2 linked regions of the Drosophila melanogaster genome follow. The protein of the gene in region 1 interacts with the protein of each later gene in a pairwise test. Each region holds a gene or a part of one and is shown in the gene's direction. Other genes may lie near its edges.

Region 1 (8,471 bases):
TGCGGCGCCGCATCCACATCATGGTTGGGCTCGCTGTTAGATTTGCGTCGCACGGAACATTTGCCCAGTGTAAACATACACACAACCGGTGCCGGTTTGAACCGATTTCGACCGCCGTAGTGCCCCGGCAATGGGTCTATCTATCTACATACATCTGCTCGATTGTGTGTGTGCTAAAATTGTAAATTAATAAAAGAACAAATGAATGAATGAGCGAGTGAGTGAGTGAATGGGCGCAATTCGAATTGAAATCAATCCGCAGCACACGGACACACCCAGCAATCGCAACGGCCGGGCCTCTCCAAGTCGAGTGGGGCTTTAACATTACAGAACACGAAAATACTTGTAACTATAGATTAGCTGCGCTCTGTTGCCAAGTAAATATAGAAATGCTTTTGGCCCCATCACCTCGTTCTAAATCGAAACTCCTCGAACTGAGGAGCTGATTGAATCGGTTGAACAATACTCAGCAATAATGATTATTGAGGTCCGGAAATAAGCGCATATTGGTTGACACTCTGGTGATCTTTTCTCGCTGTATCTTGGATCAAATCCGCCAAACGGGGGGGCTACTTAGCACCGAACCGGTTGAGACCAAAGCGAATCGGTTGCACCCATCTGGAGCCGCCTCTAACTGGTGTCCAGACCACAAAGCCCGGCGCCAGGTCCCGATCAGAAGTCGAAGCTGACGGATCGGATTGCATTTGGGCACTTTCCATCACGCCATCGCCGCAGAATTAGACACATGTCCGCACCTGTGCACCCAGCACACGTCCACTGCGTTGCGGAGGGCTATCGGCTTTCGCCGGAGATTGGAGAACCTGAGACGTCGGGGCTGCTGCGCCATACCGGAGACGTCGGCGGCAGTCAATGGGACTTATCATGCACGGACGGTCGAGTCGACAAATTAAACAAAATCGTGAACGGACTGCGCGTGGCGGTCCGTTCTATAATGAGCATGGGAACGCAAAACGCAGACAGTGGGTTGAGGGGACATTGCGAAACCGAAAACGGTTTTATTTTTAAAAACTGTCGTTACGTTTGTCGTTTTAATAAGCATTTTATGCATGCAAAACGCTTATGCAAGCTCCCGTGTCCGCGCATGAGATTCGCCAGCGAATTCTACAAACGCTTCCCACCGCTCCAACAATTATAATTAATGTTGTATAAGGAATAGCCGGTCTAGACGGCGGATGACTCAAGTCCCACGCGAGATAAGCACAAGAGCGATCAGTTCAGATAATAAAATTCCACTACATCCATCATGATAAGTGGCAAAGGTACGGCCTGTGCGTTCAGCCGAAAGATCAGATCTAATGTGCGTGAGTCATGCCGATAAAGCTGACTTACAGTCCTATAAATAGTTCGGATAAATCGCTTCTCAGCTTTGATCGACCGCGATTCTACGATTCATTTAAGGCCTTACAACATCAACATGAACCGTGAGACCGTGTAGCTCTGGCAGACGAAGCTGATTGCAAATCGTCTGATGCAATATGCTAATCATTCGCAAATGTGCGAGCTAAGCGCAATAGTTCGCAACTGACCAACTTTCGCTTCCTTTTGGGTTGAACAACGGAAAATGTGGGAACTTAAGTACCAAGATTTGGAGCAATAAACCAATCAGTCTTCATAAGAAATAAATCATTCCTAGAAGTTGTACCTTTATTAACTGGCCCACTTAAGACCGGATAAGGGAGTTCATTTGCAACTCTCATGGTGGGCGGCTCACACGCAAGTTTGGCTCCATAAGCCCTGCTCCACAGAAGCCTTTTATGGGCGACACGTGCCGGTTGTCGGTGGGGCAATATGCATGCAAAAAACAGCTCACGCTAGCACGCATAAGCCGGCAATGTTATTGTTTACCAAAATTGGGGAAAAATTCCACTTGAACTGCCGGGCCATCGGAAATGTTTGCACACTCTTTTGGCACCCATTCCGCAGCCGATGAAGCGAAGGAGAGGCATGATCGGCTGGAGAGGCTTGTCCGATTCGCTTCGATCCGATCCGCAGTCACATGACAAACGCGTGAATTGGGCGTTCTGAGTTCTGGGTGACAAGCGAAACGTGTGAATAGGCTAGTCGCACGACCCGCTTGTACGTCTAATCAGATGGCAGATAAACGGGCAAACGGGCAAAACAATTAGCCCCACTGGGAGCCCACTCTCTCATCCATTTCGAATGGTAATTGATGGATCGGCCAATTTTCGTGGGATGCGTACGGGTACGTGCTAAAAACAGCACGGAATGGTACTAATTTTAAATGGAACTCTTTGGGGAAGACAGAGTGTTGGCTATTCCGGGATTGTAAAATTGATGGCCCCTGCTTATAGGCGACCGACCCACTATCAATGCCATTCGAAGATAAAGCCGGAGTGTATGGGCATTAATAAAAGTGTACGGCAGTTTCCGCCCGATCGGACAAAAGCCGGGACTCCAAGAGACGGGAAAACCACTTGGCGATAAGCCGATGCAGCTAGTACAAAGGTGCGACTAGCGTTTTCCGCTGCTCAATTAGTGGGCTTCGCTACGGCTAATCGTAAATAACATAGATTACTCCGATGTCTAGACTATAAATATAATCGGGTGGCTAATTATATGTACGAACTCGCTATGGCGCACTCACCTATGAAGTTCAGCTTGTCGGTGGCCAGATTGCAAAAGTCGGGATCGTCCACATCGAAAATGATGCCATCCTCCCACTCGGTGACAATGTGAGACGAGGAGACGGAAACGGAAGTGGTGGAGCGTTGCTGCTGCTGTTGCACCAATGAGCTGTTGTTGTTGTTGTTGCTGCTGCTGCTGCTGGCGGAGATGTGGTTGTTGTTGCTGCCCGTTTTCATCTCCATAAGGGTAAGAGAAACGCAATTAGAGGATTCCTTGGCTAAGCAGATACGTGCTGGCATGCAAACAGCAAAAAGTACACACGTGGCTTAAAGCGCAGCTTGTGTTGATTGGCCAAGTGTTTGGATAAAGGGGGGTGGGGGGGTGGTTGATAACACAGTCAAGGGGGAGGGGAGCAGGCACACAGCTGTTGCACGCTTACCCCTCCCCGCACTTCTTACAACACTTCTTTGCACAAGTGCAACATGCAAATCAATAGATGCAAGCTAAATTTTATTTGGGTGAAGGCTACATGTGTGTGAGTGTGTGTTTGCATGCATGAGTGAGCAATTGCATTCGCTTCGTGTATTTGTTGCTGTTATTGCTTTTGCAAATTTTGTTTGGTCTCCATACATGTGTGTTTGCATGGAAATGCCTAAAATCTGTGTTACGTGTGCTGGCCTCTAAGCTCACTCACCTTTATACTAGCAGCACGCTCAGTCGACCAGCTTGAAGTTAAGTATCCAAATTTAGGCCAACGCAACCGAATTTTAAGTTAAATTTGGATAAAATTCAGGCAAAACAAAACTTTGCTTGCAAAATTGCTGGCAACTAGAGGTGGTCAGCTGTCGATTATCGTAGTTGGCAACACTAATCGATAGGACAGAAAGCGTTATGCATTTCAACTTCAATGTTCAAATGAACAAACTAAAATTTTCTATTCTCTTTTGATACCTGTAATATGAAAATAATATAGATAGTTTGCTTAGATCCCGCTGAATAACCTTATATATATATAACAATATAACTTAAATTTATTTTCTAATTTGTTATCTCAAATTTTAGCATTCTGACAAGTATCAAGTTTGTAATCATTTTTAACGATTTATTACAAATATCTTAATACAATTGTATTGTTAGTTCATATGCACACTGCCATCTCTAACGTGCGCCGTGGCAGACGTAAGCACCTCCCATCGCTATAAACGTAACCATCATAACGTAACCAAAATTCGATCAAAATAAATTTGGAATATCACAAAAATCATTATTCGCACCTGGAACAGAAAGAAAATGCACCAGCCTGGCCTTCTGCAGCTGAATAGATTGCACTAAGGCAGCATTTCGAATCCGAAACGTAGGAACTAGCCCACAGCGAAATCATGGAGGAGAATATGTGGTAAATAATAAACATTGGGTTGGGGCTACGTCAACAACTAAGATTAGTCAGAGAGTCTAGAGATTCAGCTCCAGCACCTCATTTTCTTTGGCATCCATCGCCTTTGGCTTTCTCGAACAGACCACCATTTGTTTCGCTGATTGAGTCAGCAGCTTGGTGCTGGGCCAGCGGGACGCGGAGCACCTGGGGGTGTGGGTGCTCCGCCTTATCAGCAGCTGGTTATTTAGACACGTTGACGTCCCCTTCACCCGTAGCATGAGCAGAACAAGTACCAAGCAACTGATTGTGATGGACATCCCTCTCTTGTATGCAGGATCATTGAGCTGGAGTCGGCACTGCTGGACGACTGCACTGTCAACGACATCTACGGCATATGCCAGGGCAAGGCTCTGCCGGAGGCACTGCGTCCGGACGTGTGGCAAGTGTGCCTGGATGTGCGCCACAAATCGGATCAAATGTCGCTCTTCAACGAGATCTACGACCTGCCCTTCCAAAGCCAACTGCGCGAGGATTGCCAGCGGCACGTCGATCGCATGGGCAACGATGAGGAGGACAAGGTCTCGGTGGTATCCGACCTCGAGTCCATCATCACCTTCTACTGCAAGAACAGAAACCTTCAGTATGAGCCGGACAACGGATGGATTGAATTGCTGCTCCCGCTGTTCGCCCTGAAGCTGAATCGCTCCGACACATTCAACCTGTTCGAGTCCATACGAGACACGTACATACCCAAGGGTTGCCGGCCCAAGGGCAATGTCTTTCATGTCTTCCGACTGCTCCTGCTTTACCACGATCCGGAGCTGTGCACGCTGCTGGACACCAAGAAGATCACGCCCGACTTGTACTCGCTGACCTGGTTCCAGTCGCTTTTCGCCTCCTGCAGCAGCCTGTCAGTGATCATTGCCATGTGGGACCTGTACTTTCAGAACGCCGATCCCTTCATGGTCTTCTTCCTGGCGCTAATAATCTTGATCAACGGCAGGGAGCAGATCCTGCAGATGAGGAGCTCGTCCAAGGAGGAGATCATCAAGTTCCTGAGCCTTATGCCGTGCGCCCTGGAGTTCGACGACGTCCCCGACTTTTGCTCCCTGGCCCAGTACTACGCGCTCAAGACACCAACTTCCTTCAAGACGGACTATCTGAAGGCGCTGTACGGCAAGCAGAATGATACACCGCGCAGCCAGGAGGAGGCAAACAAGGTATCACAGGCCCTGTGCCTGCCCGTCTCCGTTTACGAGCTGGTAGAGAACTCGGCCACAGAGTTTCCTGTGCCGGATGCAGTGCGTTTCTTTCTCGTTGACTGCCGCCCGGCCGAGCAATACAACGCCGGCCACCTGTCCACGGCATTCCATCTGGACTGCAACCTCATGCTCCAGGAACCTGTCGCCTTTGCCACCGCCGTCCAGGGCCTCCTGACCGCCCAGCGGCAGGCCATCGAGGCCAACTCGAACGCCGGCGGCGAGCATCTGTGCTTCATGGGCAGCGGTCGCGTCGAAGAGGACCAGTACACACACATGGTGGTGGCCTCGTTCCTGCAGAAGAACACCCACTACGTGTCGCTGCTGACCGGTGGCTACGCCTCCATCCACGACTACTTCGGCGATCAAATGGCCGATTGCCTGGAGGATCACAATGCGCGCAAGTGCCTCGTCTGCCAGCAGCACAACGCGCAGCAGGTAAGACTTCGATAACTCAGGAAATGTACAATACTTTGAATCGAATTAGTATACTTATAATTTCTCAATTCCGCTCCTGCAGACTAAATCAGCGCCGCTTAAGACTTCGACGCCATCCTCTACAGACCTATTCAGCAAGTTCTCCGCCGCCATGAAGTCAAAGTCTGCCGAGGTCAAGGGCAAACTACTAGACATTATCGTGAATCCCAGTGCAAATGGCGGAGCCACGGCTAGCGGCACCAATGGTGTGCCATCGGCGCCGGTGCAAGAGCGCCATGTTAGTGCAAAGGAGCGGAACGGCAAGCGCTACCGCAATGTGGCACCTGTGTTCAGCATCGACGATGAGAACGAGGATGCCTTGGACGGGGCGGGGGAGCGGGATGACGCACCGCTGACCAGCGACGGCAAGGAGATCGTGAATCTGAACCAGTACTTCAAGACGGCGGACATCATCAACGCCTTCAAGTGCCAGGAGGTGCACATGAGCGGCTACATGTACGACAGTCATTTGATCATCACGCCCGGGCAACTGGTGGTGCTGCGGGAACTGGGACGCGGCCAGGCGCAGATAATGGTGCGTCGCCCGCTGGCGAGCATCGTGAAGATCACGGCCAAGAAGCGACACCGCGACCTCATCACGTTCAAGTACGGATTCCCCGATGGCGATGGTCTGCTCATAACCGACATGGACCGCTTCCTCATACCAAATGCGGCCGAAGTTACGGCACTGATTTCAAGGCTCATCGTGCAGGTGCTTGACGACGCCAAGTAGGATAAACCGGACAACCGCCGCATGCTCTTCTTGTTTCCGCCTTTCCGCATCAAGCTTTATTTCATGAACGGCCACTGATACAAAAATCAGAGACACAAAGTGCAATGCGCCGCTGCGAGCGGTGTAATAGTTTGTAATTGGCATTGTTTTCCTTGTATTAGCTGAAATAGTATAGTTCTTATTGTAAACGAAGCGCTGGCTGCAATTGTAACATAGTGCACTCGGTGCAGAGACCGGATTTGAAGAAAATAGTCGAACGTAGTCCCAGATCACATGGCCATCCCGAGCATGCCACGCCCCCGATCCCAATTTTCTAAATTTCTAAGTGCGAATAAGGAACCCTTACCGAAGCCCTGAGACTTACAACGTGTACATGATGAGAGTAACTAATATTTATTGCAATCAAACCAAACAAATAAAACTGTATTATAATCGACACAAAAAATTGTTAAAAAATCATAGCTCTCTTTGAAATTTCATCGGAACTTAACAGATGCACCACGCAGCCGCATCTTCTTTTTTTTTTAGATTTCATGTTTTTCCAGCAGCGGAAGATTGCAGGTTGTGGTGCGATTCTGTGGATCCTGGAGACCATTGACTTCGTTGACAAGATTTTGAGCCTGCGCAAGTTGTTTGCTCCGATGGGTGCGATATAACCAGGTCGCCGAAACAAGTAAGGCGACCAGCAATATGGCTGCGCACACAGCTACTACTACTACGACTACCATTGGGTAATCTCGGACTGCTTCCAGCTTTTTCTGATTCAGCTCCAGTTTGCCCACGATCGCCAGGAGTTGATTAAATGATTCCAAGGTCACGGATTCCTGGGAAGATTTTGGTTCCTTCTGCAGCGTTGCGTAACCTGCTTTCGAAGGAACTCTTTCCCGGACTTCTCCACGGAGGGCGACAGCTGGACTGCGCACGGCACAGTCGCTTTGAATGCTCAGGATTCCACTGCCATTCAATTGGAGCTCCTGCCTCTCACCGGAGCACACTCCTATTAAAGTTAGCTCATTGGTAAGGGCCACCATCCAGGAGTTTGGTGCCACCATCTCTGTCCACAGACTCTTCTCCTTCACTTGACGCAAGGTGCAGACTTCGGAAGACTGGTTCCGTATGGCCGCCAGGGAGCAGGCAAAACTGTCATCCCCAGTCCCGTAGATAATGCGGTTGCGCCTGCAGATGAACCTTTCTTCGCCCAACTTGATGCAGTCGTCCAAGCTCTGAAGCGGAAAATACCTGTCCATATGATCGTTGATGCCCAGATAAGGTGTTTCGGTGTCCACCAGTTGGATTACGCCATTGTTTAACCGTGGAATGGGCGTCAATCGGTAGATATTAAACTTCTCCGCATCGAGCAAGGGCACTGTGATTTGGAACTCCACGTGGTTGCCCCGCTGCCGAGGAACTACGGAGGCGAGAAGGTAAATATTCCGGATTGTATATCGGCCATCCAGATCTCCCAGAATTGGCGGCATCTTCGCTTGCAGCTGTTTCATTGAAAGGACAAGAGGACTAAGCTTTCCGTGGTGGGCAGAGATTATGGCTTCAGTTATGGCATTCTGGGCACTTTTTAGTCTGCTGCCCATAAGGTATAGATACGGCTTCATCATAATCAGGTTTTCAGGTTCATAAGCCTCGTGAAAGGGTTCTTGAAGTATCACATTTATAACATTAATGGAGCTGTCAATGCAGGATGTTCCCATCCCAAGCTCGATGGACACGTCGTCATCTCCCAAAGAAAGTCGTCCGGCCCTAAAGTCCAACGCTTTCTCCAAGTCAATTAGTCCATCGTGAAGAATACTATCCGCAAACTTGGTAATGTCCAGAATTTCTGGACAAAGATTCCTTTGGATATCGCACACATCGACCAAAGCCTTGTAGACACCATTGAACGCACGTATTGCCGTATAAAGCGACTCCAAGTTGAAGCTGGCACATAACTTCCAATCTCTGGAGGCTAGCGATGCCTGACCGCTGTACTCCACGAAGGTGCCCAGACTGTTGTTGAATCCCCGCA
Region 2 (10,887 bases), on another chromosome or scaffold:
GCAGCTACCTCCACTTCTTCTTCTTCTCGCTTTTCTGATGAAGTCAATTAGAAAACTGCATTGACAGTTAAAAAGTGTAGGGGAAAGAGAGAGGGGAAAGAGGCAAGACAGGAAGCGGAAGAGAACACAAGTTGTATATTTATGAACATGAAACAGTGCTTGTTTTCAGCATTATTTTTTTGTTCAGTGTTAATCAAACACACATATAAAAATTCGTGTGTGTGTGGCTGCGTGAATGACTAGCAAAAAGCGTTCCATAGTAACTGCTGCAGGTCCCGGTCCAGTCCTGTCTCTCTCTCTCTCTCTTTCTCTTTTTCTCTCTGTGCTATCAGCCTGACATTTATATATAAATATATTAAATATATTAAATATATAAATATATTAAATATATAAATATATATATATATTTTAAATATATATATATATAAATATGTATATGCGTAAATGCCTAGCAAAAGGCTGGGACGGGGCCCTGCACCTGCTAATATGTAACGCTTTTTGCTAGTCATTCATTTTTTATATATATTTATGTATATTTTTTATAGATATATTATATACATATATTATTATATATATATATATATACTAGACTGGACGGGGCCCTGCACCTGATACTATGCAACGCTTTTTGCTAGTCATTCACGCAGCCACACACACGCGCCGCTTGCACATACACGCTGGGTAATTGAATTTCCCGTTTGCAATTGGAAACCCGCGAATTTTCAATGCAGGACTACACTCGGCTTCCCTCGCCGAACCTCTACTGTACTCTAATTAGCAATTTTCACACAGCCTAAGGGAAGAACAACTGAAACTTTCGACAGCTGATCAATCATTAGCCCGATTGTTCTCGAAAAACGTTGCGAAAACTCTGCTGAAACCGCTGACAAAAAATCACAAAATCTTCTACTATTACCTGCGTTTCTATGCATAATTAAAATGACGTCAACCCGAAAACTTGATATCAGCGTAGCTCCAAATAAGAGCCAGAAGCTGACAAAAAAAATGTTTTCTGTGTTCTCCCACACATTTTGCACCACGGGAACTTTTCGCATTATTAAAATGCATAACGTTGCTTTTGCATTCAAGAACATTCACACGGCGTTTTCTTTTTGTTTTTTGCTAGGTATTTTCTATGACTTACCTTTTAATTTTTCCTGATTGCGCGCGATTTTTTCACTCATAGTTCAACAGCTGTCACCAAATAAATTCTAATGCAATACCAAATTTGAACTTAAAAAAAAAAAGTTGTGGGCAGGAAAAATGCGGAATGCGTGTGTATGTGTTTGCTTATTTCTCTTTCGGTTTATTTTTTTTTTTAACAATTTTGCACGCAATACAAATTTAGCACGCCGCGGCTACTTCACTTTGAGAACAGAGAACGAGAAAAAAAAGAACAGTAGATAGGGAATTGTTTTTTCAGAAGATCTCTAGGAACCGGGTTGAAAAAACATTTGCCCCAATATACTTTATTGTGCGTGGATGTGTGGGTTTTTTACCGCTAAGCGTGTCGCCTGAATTTTACACTGGAACGGTAAATGGAAGGTAGAAACACCCTGACTTCTCGACAACTGAAACACAACTGAACGTTTTGCTTGCTGGTGATTAACTGAGTGACGGCTTCTATTTCGGTTTTCGACTTCGGTTAATCACACGACGGACGACGAGCTCCAACATACGAGTCGTAGGCGGCTCTGATTGGCCAGAACACGGCCGCGTCTGGCAGGCCACGCTTGGCGGGCGACGTCTGGCACCAGTGATGCTTATTATCGATTCGATAACACTTACCGATGTAGGGATGCTAATAATTGACTAGTAACGGGGGAATATTTTGTCGAGTATGGAATTAAAATCCGCGTAAAACTGTTGAAAGTCAAATATGTTCTCTGAAATCCTGCACTCGATAACCGGTATTCAATATTCGATTGAATGCAATTTAAAGACGGACATCACTGATATAGGAGTTCTAAACGATACAAGCAGCTGACTTTTCGGGTGCATTCGATTTAGCTTATCGCAAATATCAATTTATTTTATCGCACGCACTCGATTTATTTTATCATCTATGTATACATTTTTTTTTTTTAATTTTATATAAAAGAATTACTATTGCTGGCTAGCGGTGTTTCGATAAAAAAAACATATTTTTTGTATTGCAAGTAATTAAAACTATTTACAATAATAATGTTAAAGAAATCCAAGCCATACATTGTACATTCGATTAAATTTTGTATGATGCAACATAGTTTCAAAAGAAATCGACATGTAACTGACGAGAATATAAAAGCTGAGACGGATAATGAAACATATCTTTAATGTTATAAATTACAACCAGTTTGTTTCCAAATTTTTTTTCATTGACATACTTATTGCGTCAAGTAATAAACTAATTTAAAATAAGCATATGTAAAATAATAATGATACAATTAGTTTTTTTTATAAATGAAAACATTTATAATTATATGTTTGTCAAAAAATGCATTATAAAATGATATAAACGTTTGAAAATATACAGTACCCAAAATAATATTTGTATTCTTAATAATCTCGTTAGTTATCCGTAACTTGTGGTATTCATATATATCGCTATAAACATACGACTTTAGCTATATGAATGTATTTGAATGAGATGTGCAATAAGAAAATCGTTACCTTTTTTTAAACAGCTTATTGTGAATTCAATTATGATTATCATAATTCATTATGGAGACCAGACATTGTTTATTAAACTTATTGCTTTTAAATGTTAGAACAAATTTTAATTGCCAGAGAAAACTTACTTATAACAACTTATAATAAGTGTATAAATTACGAAAATCTTAAAAATAATGCACTCAATACATTCATCGATTGCAACCCCGTCCTCGTTGTTATCGATTGGTGTGCTGCCAGCATTATACATCGCCTATGGAGCGTGGTGTTTTCGACCTACTTTCACAACGGTCACACGCTTTCTATTTGATTTTTTTTTCAACATAATTTTTGTTAAACAATTTGCCGTGAATTTTGTTGTGTGTGTGGATGTGGACGTGCTGACAGCCAAAAAAATTAAAATAAAAAAAAAAGAAAAGTGTTCGCAAGTCGAGAGCAGAATCGAACGGCAAAAAATGCTGGCGAACAACAAATCATCAAGGTAAAACTGCGCGCCTTGGTCATTAAGTCTTTCATCGAGGATAAAAGACCGATGTCTTTTAACGTTATTGCTGTAAGCAAAAGCAGAAATCACAATCTACTCATAAATCCTCGATTTGGTGCAAATTAAAGGAAATTCATCGGTTTTTGGCGGCCAGTTGCAAACACAAAATACTAAATACGCTAGATGGAGCACGCATACACGCAAGCTCGTTGGCGAACGTAAATTACATACATCATATAGATAGTCGTCCCGCTTGCACTGCCCGTCACAGCGAGGGCTGCGAGAGCGAGAGCGGGAGAGAGAAAGGCCTGAGTCGCTTTTTCTTCTTGTACTTTATATATTTTTTATTGTTTTTTTGTGTTGTGTTGCGTTGTACGTGTGTGTGAGAGTGCCAAATGTCAACGGAAATTACAACACTGCGAGACGGAGAAGTCTAAAAGGCAGAAGAAGAAGAAGCAGCAGCAGGCAGCATAAACAAAACTCGGGGGAAAACCACAAAAAATAACAGAGGGAGAAGCAGGAAGATGTTGCCCGCCAATAACAGGAGTAGCACCAGCACCCATACCAACACAAATGCCAACACAATCAACGCCACTACCAATACCACCAACAGATGCCTCATCAATACGGCCATCGAAAAAACGGTAGTCCGTTTGCGAGAGACGGCAGCGAATAGCGGTACTTTCCAGGACTCAGATGAGTCGTCCGTGGAATTTGATATTATTAACTATTATGGGGACGACGGCGGCACAACTCCAGCACCAGCTCCAGCCACAGCCTCCGTTACTCGCCACGGCGGCAGCAGCAGCGGCAATAACAACAATAACAGTGCATGCCATCCAGCACTGGATGCCAGCAGTGATGTTGTTGTTGTTGAACCGGCAGCGGTAGGAGTCGCACAGGAGGAAGAGGAAGAGCCGGAGCAAAGGCCAGAGAGGATCAGCATACCCATTCCCGACCTGGCGTTCACCGAGATGGAAGCATATGCCGAGGATATAGTCGTCGATATGGAGGGGGGATCACCAGCCAAGCCTTTAAATCCAAAGAAACAACGTTTAAACTCAGCAACAACCACAACAATAAATCGCTCGAGGGGCGGCGGAGCGGCACAGAGTCGATTACGCCGGTCGGCGGCCATCGTTCCACCGCGATCGATTCCAGAGAGCTGTGCCAGCAGCAGCAATTCCAATTCGAGCAGCAGTTCCAACAGTAATTCCAGTTCCAGCTCCGCTACAGGAAGTAGCGCATCCACCGGCAATCCGTCGCCGTGCTCCTCCCTGGGCGTCAATATGCGCGTAACTGGACAATGCTGCCAGGGAGGCCGGAAATACATGGAGGATCAGTTCTCGGTGGCCTACCAGGAATCACCGATCACCCACGAACTGGAATACGCATTTTTTGGCATCTACGACGGACACGGCGGTCCCGAGGCCGCGCTCTTCGCCAAGGAGCACCTTATGCTCGAGATCGTCAAGCAGAAGCAGTTCTGGTCTGATCAGGATGAGGATGTCCTGCGGGCAATACGCGAGGGATACATCGCCACACATTTCGCCATGTGGCGGGAACAAGGTGAGCAAGAAATAGCTGGGAAACTAAGCCATCTTACAGTTGAGACAACCCAAAGAAAGCAGTTAGTTGGCATAAAGATTTTAAATCATACGAAAAAAAGAGAATATAATATACTTGTATTTGTATTTGTTTTTGTGCCTTCTCTCATGCAATTTCATATCAAAATTGTTGCCAATGCCAAGCGACCGTTAGAGATGCGCGAAAACTGAATTAACTGCCAGTTGGCGGCATTCAAACCGCGTAAGTCCCCGTTGTCAGGGTTGCCGTTTCGCACCACCCCCCCACCCACACAAAAAAAAGTTGCCTCAAGTTTCGAGCTGCTCCCTTGGGTCTCCCATCTCTAGGTAATTATGCAACCGTGTGTGGCGATGACTCAACCATCGCTCAATTGCTCATCTCTATTGTCAGCCCACACTAAAAAGATACAAGTACAGCAGCAGATACAGATACAAATGCACACACACACTTAGTTATCGCGAGTGGAATATTCCACGGACTTGCCATATGGCTGTACTCTCGCCAAGCATGGCAACCCCGCTGTGAGTTAGAGCGGGACGTCCGTATGGCGGCGCGGCCCACCAAGGCGTTTCGAAATGCGAGAACGAAAGAGATGCAACGAGTGAGAGAGCGAGAGGTGGCCAAAGAGAAAAGAAAATAAATGTGTGCCCATTTTCCTATTCGCATAACAAAAACAATGTACACAGAAATTCAAGGGATGCCAGAAACGCAGATACACGTTTGTAGGTGTGTATCTGTGTGGGAAATATCAATATCCGTCGTTTCGATATACCAATATATTCAGTTAAGCGCCAAAAATCCAGGGGCCTTAGAAAATGATTTTTTCAACTGCTTGCATCATGTAAAGTGGCTGTTTAAATGCTATTACTCATTGCCTCATTAAATATATAAATATAAGTAGAAATTGTATTTAGTTGTTTGGGAAAATCCAGAATTTTAAAGCGATTTGGTATTGTTTTCTTTTTGTCCTTACCCTATTCATTTTTTATAATTTCATTAAGTTATTTAGGTTTTCTGTTAAAATGAAGGAAATTTTATGACTTACACAACCATTTTTTTTTTTTTTTGTTAAGGCTTAATTCTTCTTTGATAACGTATAAGTTAAGTTGGAATTATGGAAAATTCTAAAATCTGGTATTATCCTTTCCCAACCCCGCAGAGAAATGGCCACGCACTGCCAATGGGCATCTGAGCACCGCCGGCACCACCGCCACAGTGGCCTTTATGCGTCGCGAGAAGATCTACATTGGTCATGTGGGTGATTCTGGGATCGTTTTGGGTTACCAGAACAAGGGCGAACGCAACTGGCGTGCTCGTCCACTGACCACGGACCACAAGCCGGAGTCACTGGCAGAGAAGACGAGAATCCAGCGTTCCGGCGGCAATGTTGCCATCAAATCGGGAGTTCCGCGAGTGGTATGGAACCGACCCAGGGACCCAATGCATCGCGGTCCCATTCGCCGCAGAACTCTGGTAGATGAAATACCCTTTTTGGCGGTGGCTCGTTCCCTGGGCGATCTCTGGAGCTACAATTCCCGCTTCAAGGAATTCGTTGTGAGTCCCGATCCGGATGTCAAAGTGGTTAAAATAAATCCCAGTACCTTTAGGTAAGTGATCCTGATTAATTAGCTAAACTGCTGGACATCTTAATATTGAATAATTTGCCTGCAGATGCTTAATTTTCGGCACCGATGGCCTGTGGAATGTGGTGACCGCCCAGGAGGCGGTGGACAGTGTGCGCAAGGAGCATCTAATCGGCGAGATACTCAACGAGCAGGACGTTATGAATCCCAGCAAGGCGCTGGTGGATCAGGCCCTCAAAACCTGGGCCGCCAAGAAGATGCGTGCGGACAACACGTCCGTTGTGACTGTGATACTAACACCAGCGGCCCGCAATAATTCGCCCACAACGCCAACACGTTCCCCATCCGCGATGGCACGCGACAATGATCTGGAGGTGGAGCTACTGCTGGAGGAGGACGACGAGGAGCTGCCGACACTGGATGTGGAGAACAACTACCCTGACTTTCTCATCGAGGAGCATGAGTATGTGCTGGACCAGCCGTACAGTGCATTGGCCAAGCGACATTCGCCTCCGGAAGCCTTCCGCAACTTCGACTACTTCGATGTGGACGAGGACGAGTTGGATGAAGATGAGGAAACAGTGGAAGAAGACGAGGAGGAGGAGGAGGAAGAGGAGGAAACCAAATCGGTGGGAATTCTACAGCAAAGTTTGTTCAACCCCAGAAAAACGTGGCGCAAGTCAACCATCAACAATTCCTGGAGTGGCGTCACCGAACCGGAACCGGAACCCGATCCCGAACCAGATCGAATAGATGTCTTAACACTGGACATGTACTCCCACACCAGCATTGACAAGGGCACCAATTATGGCGGCAGCATAGCCCAGTCCTCAATAGATCCTGCGGAGACGGCTGAAAATCGTGAGCTGAGTGAGTTGGAGCAGCATCTGGAGAGTAGCTACAGTTTCGCCGAGTCGTACAACTCCCTGTTAAACGAGCAGGAGGAGCAGGAGGCACGCTCACGTTCAGCAGCAGCAGCAGCCGCCGCCGCAGAAGCAGCAGCAGTAGAAGCACAACAAACCACTGCCCATTCCGCATCCGTTGTGCTGGACCGCAGCATGTTGGAGATCATCCAGGAGCAGCAGCACTATCAGCAGCAAGAGGGCTATTCGCTAACGCAACTAGAGACCAGACGTGAAAGGGAGCGGCTGACCGAATCGTGGCCACAGCAGCCGGCTGAGCTGCTCGAGCTGGATGCTCTACTGCAGCAGGAGCGTGCCGAGGAGGAGCAGGTAGCCCTGGAGCAGCAGCAGCAGCGCGAACAGCAAATGGAGCAAATGGAGGTGGAGGCCATTAGTAGTTCGGGACAGCACGAATTTGCTTACCCAGTGACCACCGCCACAGCCAGCGAGTGGTGTGCTACATTACAAGAAGACGAGGAGGAGTTGGACTCCACAGTAATAGACATAGTAATTCAACCCGAACAAGAGTTGCAGGACAATGAAGTGAGCTCCACGTTGCCCGCCACACCCACTCATGTGGAGCCTGAGCAGATTGTGGACAAGATGGAGCCCCTGAAGGTTCAGGAGATGCTAACCGCGGTCGAAAAACCTCCATCCAAGCAGGAAAAGAAGCTGCCGAAGAAGCAAGAGACCAAACAGGTTGCTGTGCTAGATACAGTGGCCGAGATGCCCAAAGAGGATGCCCATGCCGTGCACTATATATTCCAGCGCATTCAAAAGGTTCAGGACTCTGAGGCAACACCAGTGGCCGTGACGAATTCCACAATGGCTGACGCCCTGCCCACCGAATCTAGTGGACTGGGAGGATCTATGACCGCGCCCCGAATCCGACGCTATCGCAACGTGCCCAACGAGAACCATCAGCACATGCAGACGCGTCGTCGTCAGATCTTCAAGCATGTCAAGCCAAAGTCCTTCATACAGTCCAGTGCTGCGGCGATTGTGGCCTATGGAGACAGCACCGAAACGGTCGGAGGAACAGCCGGAGCATCTGGCACACCTGCAGCTGGGCGTGTAGGCGGGGGCGGTGGCGGCGGCGGCGGCAGAGGATCGGCCAGTGGTGGGAGCAGTCCAGCGGTGGCAGCCAATAGTCGGCGGAGCGTCAATGTGGTGGCCAATGCGAGTGGAAACAGCGCTAGCAAAGTTGTGCCCAGCAGCAGTTCCATGATGATGACCCGCCGCAGTCACACCTTGACGGCCAGCGGTGGTGTGAACAAAAGGCAGCTGCGCAGCAGTCTCTGCACCTTGGGCCTGGGTGTGGGTGTCGGTGTCGGTCTGGGCATGGACCTGGACATGACCAAGCGCACGCTAAGGACAAGGAATGTACCCGCTTTGTCGGGCGGTTCAGCCACGCCATCTAGCAATTCGTCGCCAGCCAGCGGAGGCAGCAGTCCAGCCGGTTTCACAAGCCCAGCCAGTCCGGTCATCACGTCCAGGGGAAGCGGATCGCGTACTACCGCCTCGCCAGCCAGGCGCCTAAAACGCAGTCATGAGGATCGGGAGCAAAGAATGAGCTTGCGACGGAGCACTCTGAGTGGCAGTGCCAGCGGCAGTGGGCTGGTGGGCACTGGTGGGTCGCCCTCGAATGTGAAATCAAATCGCCTGCAGGCCTGCAATGGAGCCATCTCTGCGCGTCCGCCGCCCTCGCCGAAGAAACTGAATGCAGCCGTGCCCACATTGGCAATTGGAACGCGTGCATATACGGCGGCGTTGGCGGCGGCGGCGGATCACCTGAACAAGCGGTGGTCGTTGCGCAGCAGCAGTGGCAACTCTGGCAATCTGATAACCGCCATCAGTTGCTACAGTGACAGGAGCAGGGCGGCGACTGCGGCGGGATCACCGGGATCTGGAGGCGGGGCAGCGGGACCACCAGGAGCATCTTTGGCCGCATCCACAGTCGGCACGCGAAGGCGCTAGGCTAGATTGTAACGAAACATGCGAGCAACTTGCAAGTACAAATCCTAAGCAACGGAAAATTTTAGATCCTAGTATACTACTTTACTGAAAACGCAAAATTGCATAATTTAACCAATTTTTTTATGTGCACAACACACACACACACACACACATCTTTTAAATGTATATATAAAAAACTGTATAAGCCGCCGCATAAAAAAAAATATATATATTGATATATATACATTTATACCTACGCCTAAACAATTAAACAAATTCATAGTGTAGCTATAAGTCGAAGTTAGTAAATAGCAAAAAGTACATAGGAATATATATATAGATATATATATTTTTTGTATCGCCCAAAGTAAGAAGTTCTCCAACATCCGAAAGTTTTCCTCAACATAAATATTCTCTTTTCTAACTAAATCGTTTCGTTCAGTGTACGGCAGACTGGAAAGTATTTTTATCTCGTCTCTTGTGTTTAACTGTTTTACGCTATGTTGTCTAAGATAGTTGATAAGTTAGGCTAACACGAGAGAAGCTAATATTTTTAGGTTTATCATTTAATTTTTTTTTTTGTTCTTCGCTTGTAAGGTGTTCACCACTTGCGTTTGCAAGTCATTTTCATGTCATCGCGAAATATTTTCAATTGAAATACATCTATTTTTACATAATTCTATGGGTTTTTGGATTTTCATTCAATTTAGCATATGGATTCTCATAATCAAATTTAATTTTAAAGTAAGACATTTTTTCAAGTGTCGATAATTATGGTTGACCATATAGCATGGTCACACTGGCATGGTTTGCTATAAAGTGAATTAAATGTTTTGCGTCCCAAGTAAATGCAACAAAAGCTGGGAACAAAATGTCATTGCTCTCAAGAGTTTTGTTTCACCTATTGGGCGGATGTTTATCAATAAGTAAAGAAGAATTTTTAGAAATTTATTGCAACATTTAAACCCAACGGCTATGACCAGCTGATTTGCTATAAATACAGTATATTAGTGTGAAATTCAGTATTTTCCATAGAAGTAGGCCCGCATTATGTATGGTATGTTTTAGTCACTCCACGAACGGTAACACTTTGGCTTGTTTGCTTGAAAAAACGTAACTTTTTTTGTTGTAATGAAGGAAGCAGCACGGGCAGTAGACCAACTCGAAATCGCGCATTGCCAACACGTAACGTACCAGCCCGTGTAATAACAGAAGAAACCCCGAGCCGCAACAACAACCCCCGAAAAGCGGTAGTTGTAAGAGTTTTCCCAAAGTGGCAGCGGCAATTACACGGCGAGAAACGAGTTCGCGTCGCGTCCAGCTGTTTGAAAATCAAAATTAACCGTTTTTAGCGCGTGAAACAAGACGTTTAGAACCGTGTTCAAAATGTAAGTGCCCCAGAAAAGCCGTAGATTACGGAAAAACTAAAGCTGTGGTAAAGTGTCAGCTAGTCTAGTCTGCTAGTGTGTGTGTGTGTGTGTGCGCTTTGCGTCGATGTGTCTTAACAGTTATGTCTGGCATAGATAACCGTCTTTTTCTCCCCTCCCTCTCTAAAACACTCTTCTCCATTTCAATTTTCCATTGCTAGCTGTACATTGTGTGCGAGTGGGATGCAGCATAACGGAGAGTCGAACGATCTCACCCTCTCCCGCTCCCGCTCTCTCACTCTTCTACTCCTCTCCTTGTCTGCCTAATAGGAAAACCAATAACAATAGAAAAAACC

The links.
Region 2: the proteins of TBC1D23 (region 1) and Pp2C1 interact in a two-hybrid assay, tested with the Drosophila melanogaster proteins (one large-scale study listed by BioGRID).

Annotation. Positions count from the first base shown.
Region 1 is NT_033779.5:1,125,503-1,133,973, forward strand, and holds TBC1D23 (TBC1 domain family member 23), read left to right. Parts: upstream 1-3,813; 5' UTR 3,814-3,986; coding exon 3,987-4,003; intron 4,004-4,316; coding exon 4,317-5,679; intron 5,680-5,761; coding exon 5,762-6,451; 3' UTR 6,452-6,909; downstream 6,910-8,471. Other genes in the region: Pino (pinocchio), read right to left, coding at 2,627-2,843; iris, read right to left, coding at 6,976-8,471.
Region 2 is NC_004354.4:4,678,930-4,689,816, reverse strand, and holds Pp2C1 (protein phosphatase 2C), read left to right. Parts: upstream 1-2,913; 5' UTR 2,914-3,660; coding exon 3,661-4,705; intron 4,706-5,882; coding exon 5,883-6,330; intron 6,331-6,394; coding exon 6,395-9,185; 3' UTR 9,186-9,829; downstream 9,830-10,887.